2 linked regions of the Ovis aries genome follow. The protein of the gene in region 1 purifies or fractionates together with the protein of each later gene. This does not show direct contact. Links are inferred from orthologs where the notes say so. Each region holds a gene or a part of one and is shown in the gene's direction. Other genes may lie near its edges.

The links.
Region 2: the proteins of RPP21 (region 1) and RPP30 purify together in Homo sapiens (co-immunoprecipitation; 3 studies listed by BioGRID and IntAct, counting the BioPlex papers as one, with this or other methods). This does not show direct contact. The link is inferred for Ovis aries from reciprocal best matches to the Homo sapiens genes RPP21 and RPP30.

The regions. Positions count from the first base shown.
Region 1 is NC_056073.1:27,568,586-27,572,352, reverse strand, and holds RPP21 (ribonuclease P protein subunit p21), read left to right. Parts: upstream 1-1,471; 5' UTR 1,472-1,524; coding exon 1,525-1,581; intron 1,582-1,651; coding exon 1,652-1,752; intron 1,753-1,847; coding exon 1,848-1,930; intron 1,931-2,726; coding exon 2,727-2,852; intron 2,853-2,994; coding exon 2,995-3,092; 3' UTR 3,093-3,134; downstream 3,135-3,767. UniProt on the Homo sapiens protein: Component of ribonuclease P, a ribonucleoprotein complex that generates mature tRNA molecules by cleaving their 5'-ends.
Region 2 is NC_056075.1:12,318,724-12,323,067, forward strand, and holds the start of RPP30 (ribonuclease P protein subunit p30), read left to right. Parts: upstream 1-1,293; 5' UTR 1,294-1,306; coding exon 1,307-1,388; intron 1,389-2,881; coding exon 2,882-2,937; intron 2,938-3,455; coding exon 3,456-3,512; intron 3,513-4,344. UniProt on the Homo sapiens protein: Component of ribonuclease P, a ribonucleoprotein complex that generates mature tRNA molecules by cleaving their 5'-ends. Also a component of the MRP ribonuclease complex, which cleaves pre-rRNA sequences.

The DNA.
Region 1 (3,767 bases):
AAATAAACAACCTATATGGTACATATGTTACAGAAAAGGTAACGCAATGCATGCCAAACCAAACTAAAATGACTGGATTATCTGCTACTGGCTAATCGGGTTCACAGAAGACTGGGACAAGAAACTGCAGTTTATTGAGGGCATTTCAGCTCCTCCTACCACCTCAACAGGACTTCGTCCAGACTCTCCTCTTACCTTTGTGCCTTGACTGTGGTTCTTTGTGGCAAGATGCTTTGGTTGGTAAAACATAATATGGAACAAAGGATCCACTGAAGTAATCCTTGTGTCCTGTGGTAATTTGACAGTAGCCTCTGTTGATGTGTTAGAAACTTAAAAATGCATGTTCCTTGGAATCTCTGGCAGTCCAGTGTCAGGACTCCACACTTTCACTGTTGGGGGCCTGGGTTTGATCCGTGGTGGGAGAACTTTAGATCCCGCAAGCCTTGTAGTTTGGCCTCAAAAAAAAAAAAAGCATATTCCTGGTGCCTGCCCTCAGTAATTGACTGAGGTCTGGAGTGGGCCTGGGCATATCTGCCTTTTAATCATACGCCTCATTTGAGTTTGGAGGCCTTTGTGAAAGTAATCTGAGAGGAAATTTCAGCCATTTCTTTCAAACTGGAGTCCTGATTGGGGCAAGGTGTGGGTGGGGGGGGGGGGTGGTTGAGAGAGGAGAGAATTCTCATGCTCTCCTGACATGACTACCCTCTCCCTGTCTCAGGGTTTATGCATATTCTGTCCCTCTACTTCTAACCTCAGGAAGGAGTGGTATTATGAAGCAGAAGCAGCAGCAGCAGGTCAAGCAGGAAAGGAGAGGCAGAGATTGAAGGGAGGGACGTGGAGTACTACAGGGGATATTTCTTCAGGGGGATGCTGTTGAAAGGTTTCTGTGCTCAGTTCCTGAGACTAGGGGTTAATGAGGATCCCCTACTGTGGCCAGCACTGCATCTGCTAAGTGGAAAAGATTGGGAGGAAGCTGTGCTTTCTAAGGGCCAGGAGCCCTCTTCCCTCCCTCCACTACCCTCATGATCCTTTCCAGCGTCACTCCCACTGGCACCAGTGCCTTTTCTAAAAAAAGGAAGACCTGCTGCTTCTGTCTGTAGGTTTTCAAGGCATCTGCCTTTGTCTTCAGGAGCATAGGGCAGAAAGTCTAGCTGGGTATAAACTGCACCTAACCATCTCCCAACCTATCTGCCTAAAAAGAAGAGTCTTCTGTCCTGACGATGTTTAGGGGTTTAAGACTCTTCTGCTCAACTAACTTCTCCAGTCTCCGCCTAATGTAATTATCGGCTTGAGAAAGACTAGGAGGAGGCCCCTGGACTCTCATTGCAGGGGCGGGGTGGATTTTCGAACAGTTGGGTCTGTGAGGCCATAGGGTGGCGCCAGAGAAAGGAAGACCAGAAAGAAAGGAGTGTGCATCGCTCCCGGAACTACAATTCCCAGGAGGTCTCGCGCGGACGCCGGGGGCGTGGCTATCCTGGGGCGGGGCCTGTGGACGGTCGCGTGTGGAGAGCTCGCGCGGCGCGGATGGCGGGGCCGGTGAAAGACCGCGAGGCCCTCCAGAGGCTCAGCTTCTTGTACCAGGTGAGTCCGCGGCGCACGCACGGCGGGGAACCCAATGTGGAGGGCCCCCAGTGACGGCTCACTTCCCCAGGCCGCCCACTGCGTCCTCGCACAGGACCCAGAGAACCAGGCGCTAGCGAGGTTTTACTGCCACACGGAGAGGACCATAGCGAAGCGGCTCGTATTACGGCGGTAAGAGAGGTTATGGAGCCTGGCAGCGGGCGGGACGGGGGAAGGACTGGAGAGGGAGAGCGGGCGTCTGGACTACCACCTGCCTCCGCCCCCAGGGACCCCTCGGTGAAGCGAACTCTCTGCCGTGGCTGCTCTTCCCTCCTCATCCCGGGTCTGACCTGCACCCAGCGGCAGAGACGTAAGTACCCTCTTGCTGAGGTGGGATGTATGAGGAACACCTGTGGGCTGGGGAGGGGACGGGCAGTGATCCCTTTCTCGAGGCAGACGCGTGCCAGGTGTGGGATTTGGAGTCGGTGGCTTTCTCTGAGTTGTTAACTCTACTTGGACAGACAGATCTGGGCAGTAGAAAAATGATGTTGCCCTGAGAGGCAGCCTCGCCCGGCCATGATAATAGATGTTATTTGACATCATAGAGGATGATTCGCATCTTCATTCGTTCACTCAAGAATTATTTTTCTGAGATGTGTCAAGGATTGCTCTAGAATCAACATTCTCATTGAAATATGGTTTCATGGGATGGACTAAGAGGAACGATTAGAATAGCCTAGAAAAATGCTTCAGTTAGGGGAGTAGAATACGAAGTTACTTAAACCAGTGGTGGTGAGGTTCTTTATAAGGGCAGGGGAGTAGGAGATGGAAATCCTTGCCATTTGTGAGGCCTCAGGAAAGAAAGCCTGTGGTGCTGTCAAGGAACTGAGAGTTCAGGAGGCAGGCTTTGAGGTGGGCAAGGGCAAGACCTGAGGTGGGAGAGGGAAGCAGGGCAGATCTTGAGTCTTGTTAAGGAGTTTGGACTTTGTCTTAAAGGGTGCCAAGAAAATGATAGACTTTGTTCAGGGACCTGACACCATCAAATTTGCGTTCAAGGTGGGGAGGGAGGAGAATCCCTACTAGAAAACAGTGGAGGCAACACTGGGTTCAGGAGACCTTTTCTTCTCCTAAACCTGGGCACTCTCTTTCTCCCACATGCATTCCAGGCTGCAAGGGTCAGCGCTGGACTGTACAGACCTGCCTGACATGCCAGCGCAGCCAGCGGTTCCTCAACGACCCGAGGCATGTGCTCTGGGGAGACCGGCCCGAGGCCCAGCTGGGGAACCAGGCAGGTGAGAGATGGTTGAGAAAATGGGGGTTAACCCAGGGAGTAGAGACAGTGGGTAACGGAGAGCTGCAGAAGACAAATGGGTGAGTTTTGGGTTGGTGTGGAAAGTGCCAGTCTTCAAAAACTAATTCTGCTCATCTACTTAGATTCCAAACCACCACAGCCCTTGCCAAACACAGCCCACCCCATTCCAGCCCAGCTTCCTGAGGAGAAAGTGCAGCCTCAGAGCTCCAGTCACCAGTGATGGACTCACTCTGTCTTCCAAATAAATTTTAATTCTGCTTAACTTTGTGTAATTCCGTTCTGTGAATGTTTCAGCTCTTTCCTCTGTTTCTGTCTGCATTTCTCTGTCACCAGTTAACCTCTTCTTTGTCCTTTTTGTCTTTTGTTGTTGTCATCCTCTTAGTCCCACCATTCAGGGAGATAGATCCCAGTTTCCACTTGGCCCTGGGAAGTAGCTCTCATTTCCAGGACCCTGCCTCCCAAGTGCCCCTCCACCCTTGCCTCCTTGGTACAGTACCATGGTTGGAACTCAGGCTCCAGGGATGTTTGCAAAGCCCTGAACCTTAAGATAGTCCATTTTTAGGTAGCTCTGACTGTTGACTAAAGGGCTGGACAGACAAACTGCTGATGCCACTGATGCTGTTTTTGTTTTATTTTGTTTAATATCTATCTATTTGGCAGCACTTGAACTCTTTAGCTGTGGCATGCAAGGCTCAGCAGTGGCATGGTTTCTTCGTGGCATGTGGGGTCTTAGTTCCCCGACCAGGGGTAGAACCTGCATCCCCTGCATTGCTAGTCAGATTGTTAACCACTGGACTACCAGGGAAGTCCCTGATGCTGTTTTTATTTTATTCTTTTTTAAATGTTATTATGGAGTATAAGTACTTTACAGTGTTGTGTTTGTTTTTGCTGTACA
Region 2 (4,344 bases), on another chromosome or scaffold:
ACATGGGGCAGATCCCTCTTAAAATTCCCTTCTGAGACCAAGGGGAAAAGTCATGAGACGAATACAAGTCAAGATGTGGCCTCAGGCTAGAGATTGTCTGTGTACTATCTGTGATAAGTTAGCACAGAAATTAGAACTGTTTAGAAACTTTCACACCCATTAGGCCTTATCTGTATACCCAAGTCCCTAGCTATTGGACTCTTCTTATTCAGTCGAGTACAGAGCAATTCAGATGTTAGACCAAACTTTTGAGGCCAGATTTGTCTATTGGTCATGCAGGAGGAAACAGGAATGGGTCCTAGAACAACTGGGTGGGTGGGTGGGGAGGGCAGTAACCAGGCCCTTCATCACAGATCGTTTGAAAAAGCACTGATGTTAACTATTATTGTTGTTGTTGAGTTGTTAAGCCATGTCCAACTCTTTGTGACCCCATGGACTACAGCACGCCAGGCTTCTCTGTCCTCCAGTGTCTTGCAGCGTTTGCTCAAATTCATGCCCATTGAGTCGGTGATGCCATCCAACCACATGATGTCATCTGATGTCAACTACAGTTTCACAGTTTTATGTTCTCGGATCATTGATCAATATTTAAGAAGAGTTCACTTACACGAGTTCAAAAATGTGGAAATATCAATTGTGTGGAATTTGATTGTACATTTCTTCTTATTTTAATTACGCCCCTCTCTTGTCTAACCAGCTTTTGGCTGAACCAGTGATGGAGCTAACCTCTCATCCTAGAAAGAACCCTGCCATCTGGTGGCTGACGATATTGAGTGTAAGGAAGTAGCGCGCTGTGAACTCCCAGTTCAGACAGAGGAAAAAGACCTTTCCCCCTGGCAATCCGCTTTTAGGTCAGTTTCCCCATTTTCCGTTAAGTCCATTTTAAACAACGGAATGGCCTTTAACGGGGGAAAAAAGAACAAGTTCCCTACTACTTTTAAAGCATTTCCAGCCCTTAGCAAAAGGATTTGGTTCAAGTAGGCGCTCAATTAATGGTGTATATGTCCATTTTAAAAGAATCATTTTCTACATTATTTCCAAGGATGAAGGGTGGGAGGTGTGAACCCCCACGGCCCAACCCCAGGAGAAACCAGACATTCTCATTTGGAAGAAGACGAAGGGCTGAAGCGAGGCTGCTAATCTCCACGTGCTAACTTCTGCTGGTACTTGAAGGCAAGAAAGGAGGCGGAGACCCGCAGACTGCGGGAGGGCGGGGCTGGCCGAGCCGCTGAACTGCAGTTCCCGGCATGCCCGGGGAGGCGGGGCCCAGAGGCCGCGCCGGCGCCGGGGCTCACGTGGCTTCAGCATGGCGGCGTTTGCCGACTTGGACCTGCGGGCGGGTTCCGACCTGAAGGCGCTGCGCGGGCTCGTGGAGAACGCTGCTCACCGTGAGTCTCCCGGGCTGCGCGGGCCGCCGTGCCTGCGCTGTCTCGCTGTCCCTAGGCTGTCGAGCCATGCTCTGGAGGGACCCGGCGGGCCTAGTTCTGGTGTCCTGGGGCCTCCGGCGTGTCCTTAGAAACTGATGCCCCTGCGGTGTTACTCTGACCCGAGGCGCGGGAAACTCGAAAGCCCTGGGGAGATGTTACCCAGTCCAGCTCCTTCTGTCTTGCGAATTGAGGAAACTGAGGCCCTGACATGGCGGGGGATCTGCATGGGCCCCACAGCTGATGGATGGAAGAAGACGGGGCTCCCAAGTATACGCCTACACCAGTGCCTTTCATATCGCCCCTTCCTAAGTCTCTTGACATTGTCCTGATGCTGTCAAATGCGGGAAACTGATGCAGAGAGGGGGAGTCCTGTGGGGGCCCTGAGAATGGGGACATGTGGTTCCGAGTGTCGGAATGTTATTTACACGGAGAGTAAGTGGGGGCGGAGGACTTACTAGGAGGGTGGGAGGAGAGCAGAATGGCTAAAATGTAACTCCTGTTTGAATCCAGGGGAAACAAAAGCCGAGAGAGGTTAAGACCTTACCTTAATTATTGAAGTGAATCACAACTGCTGTCTAAGTGGGCGTAGAAGGGTTTCAAAATAGAAGAGGTTTCTTCAGGGTCTGTTAAGTAATGGACGCTCAGTAAATATTTGAGAGAGGAAGAAAAGGACCTTGGACAAACTCATGAGGGGGGAGACCACTATTTTGACCGTAATATGCGTTATCTTTTAATATTAATATCCTGTCGTCACCGTTGCTGTTTAAATAGCTTAAAGATTGGAGTCATGATTTAAACATATTTTTGAAGTCCACATGTCCAGAGCAGTGCTGTGTTGAGGCTGATAAAGCCAGGCCTTGGCTTCAGAGAGTTCTCAGTCTCTTGGTGGGTAGCTCAAAGGAGAACGTGGACATTGGTGTGAATTAGTGGTCATCCTGTTTCACCTTAGCAAAAGGGTCTCTGAAGAAGTAGAAAGGGTAAAAAGCAAAAGAAAAAACGGAAAAGTAAGAATGAAGTTGATAGTGAAAAAAGTATAAATTTGATGAGATGAAAATGAACATAGGGACACGAAAAAGAATAATGGTTGAAAGAAGATAGGCAAAGATAAAGGTCTTTGTTATCATGCTGATAATACATCACCAAAGTCAAACAAAGCCCTGTGTCTATGCTAGGCACTGTTCTAAAACATCCAGCATGTGTTATCTCATTTAATTCCCATGACAGTTGTATGAGATGAATCCTGATATCATCACCATTTGGCAGATGAACAACCTGAAACTTAAGGTTAAGTAACTTTTAAGTAGTAATGTTTAGGTTTGAGAACAGGCAAATCTGACTCCAGAATCCATACTCATAACCATTCTTCTGCCTTGTAGTCTTGACATGAATTGGTATGAGCTTATGTGTAAAAGAGGTTGTTGTATTTGACAAGAATGTTCAATTTTTCTTTTCAGTGGGCTATTCAGTTGTTGCCATCAATCATGTTGTTGAATTTAAGGAAAAGAAACAGGTAAAATAGGATTTCTGACAATAATAACCAGCATTTATAATTATTTTGTGTGTATCGGTAATGTGGAAGCTACAGATGAGCACTCTGTGCATTGTTTTATGTGTTAATAGTTGAGCTGATACATATCTGTACAAATGATAACTTTTTTGTGAAGTGCTGGGGTATGGTGTAAAGATTCTTAAAGTCGATCTGATGTTAAGTAACTTTTTAAAAAGTGCATTGTTGTTGTTTAAACTTTAATCACAATAGTTCATCTTTTTTATTTTACCGTCATGGACTCATTACTGATTGATTTCCCTTCCGAACATACTAGTAAATATGTGTATCTCTCCTTAGGCCAACAATTGTTCCTTACAGATTGTTTCATTCTAAAAAATTGTTGTTCATCCTTCCTTTCCATTGATGTTCTCAGCTCCTACTTGGCTTCAACTGTCTTTACATGGACATACACACAGCTTATCTAGTGTTTCTGCATGCTAGAAATAAGCTTTCTAAAAATTATTCTTTATTTGTTGTAGGAAATTGACAAACCAGTAGCTGTTTCTGAACTCTTTACAACTTTGCCAATTGTACAGGTAAGTGCTTTGTTTAAGAAACATAATACGTACTCAGACAGTTCAGGCGTTCCCAGTCATATGTATGGTTCTCTAACCTGCACTGCCCGTTCCTTTGTCTACCAGTCCTACCTTTCCATGAAGACTTAGTTTTTCCATGAAACATTATGTACGTCTCTTTTTCTCTAGCTATTCAGGTATACCTCAGAGATACTGTGGGTCTGGTTCCAAACTACCATGTTAAAGCAAGTCACGAATGTTTTGGTTTCCTGATTCATGTTAAGTTTATGCTTACCTTGTCGATTAAGTGTGCAGCAACCTGGAGAATCCCAGGGATGGGGGAGCCTGGTGGGCTGCCGTCTGTGGGATCGCACAGAGTCAGACACGACTGAAGCGACTTAGTAGCAGCAGCAGCAGCATTGTATCTAAAAAAACACAATGTTTATCTGAATTTTTAAATATTTTACTGCTTAAAAATGCTCACCATTATCTAAGTCTTCAGTAAGTTATGATCTTTTTGCCAGTGGAGGGTCTTACATTGATGCTGAAGGCTGGTGACTGATCAGGGTGGTGGTTGCTAAAGGCTGGGGTGGCTGTGGCAATTTCTTGAAATAAGACGATGAATTTGCTGCATGAACTTGCTTACTTTCAGTACAATTTCTCTGTAGCATGCAATGCTGTTTGATAGTATTTTACCCACAGTAAATCTTCTTTCAAAATTGGAGTGAGTCCTCTCATACCCTGCAACTGCTTTATTAACTAAAAGTTTGTGTAATATTCTCAATCCGTTGTTGTTATTTCAAGAGCTGATCAAGTTCAATGTCTTACATGTGTGTGATTTTTTACTCTAAAT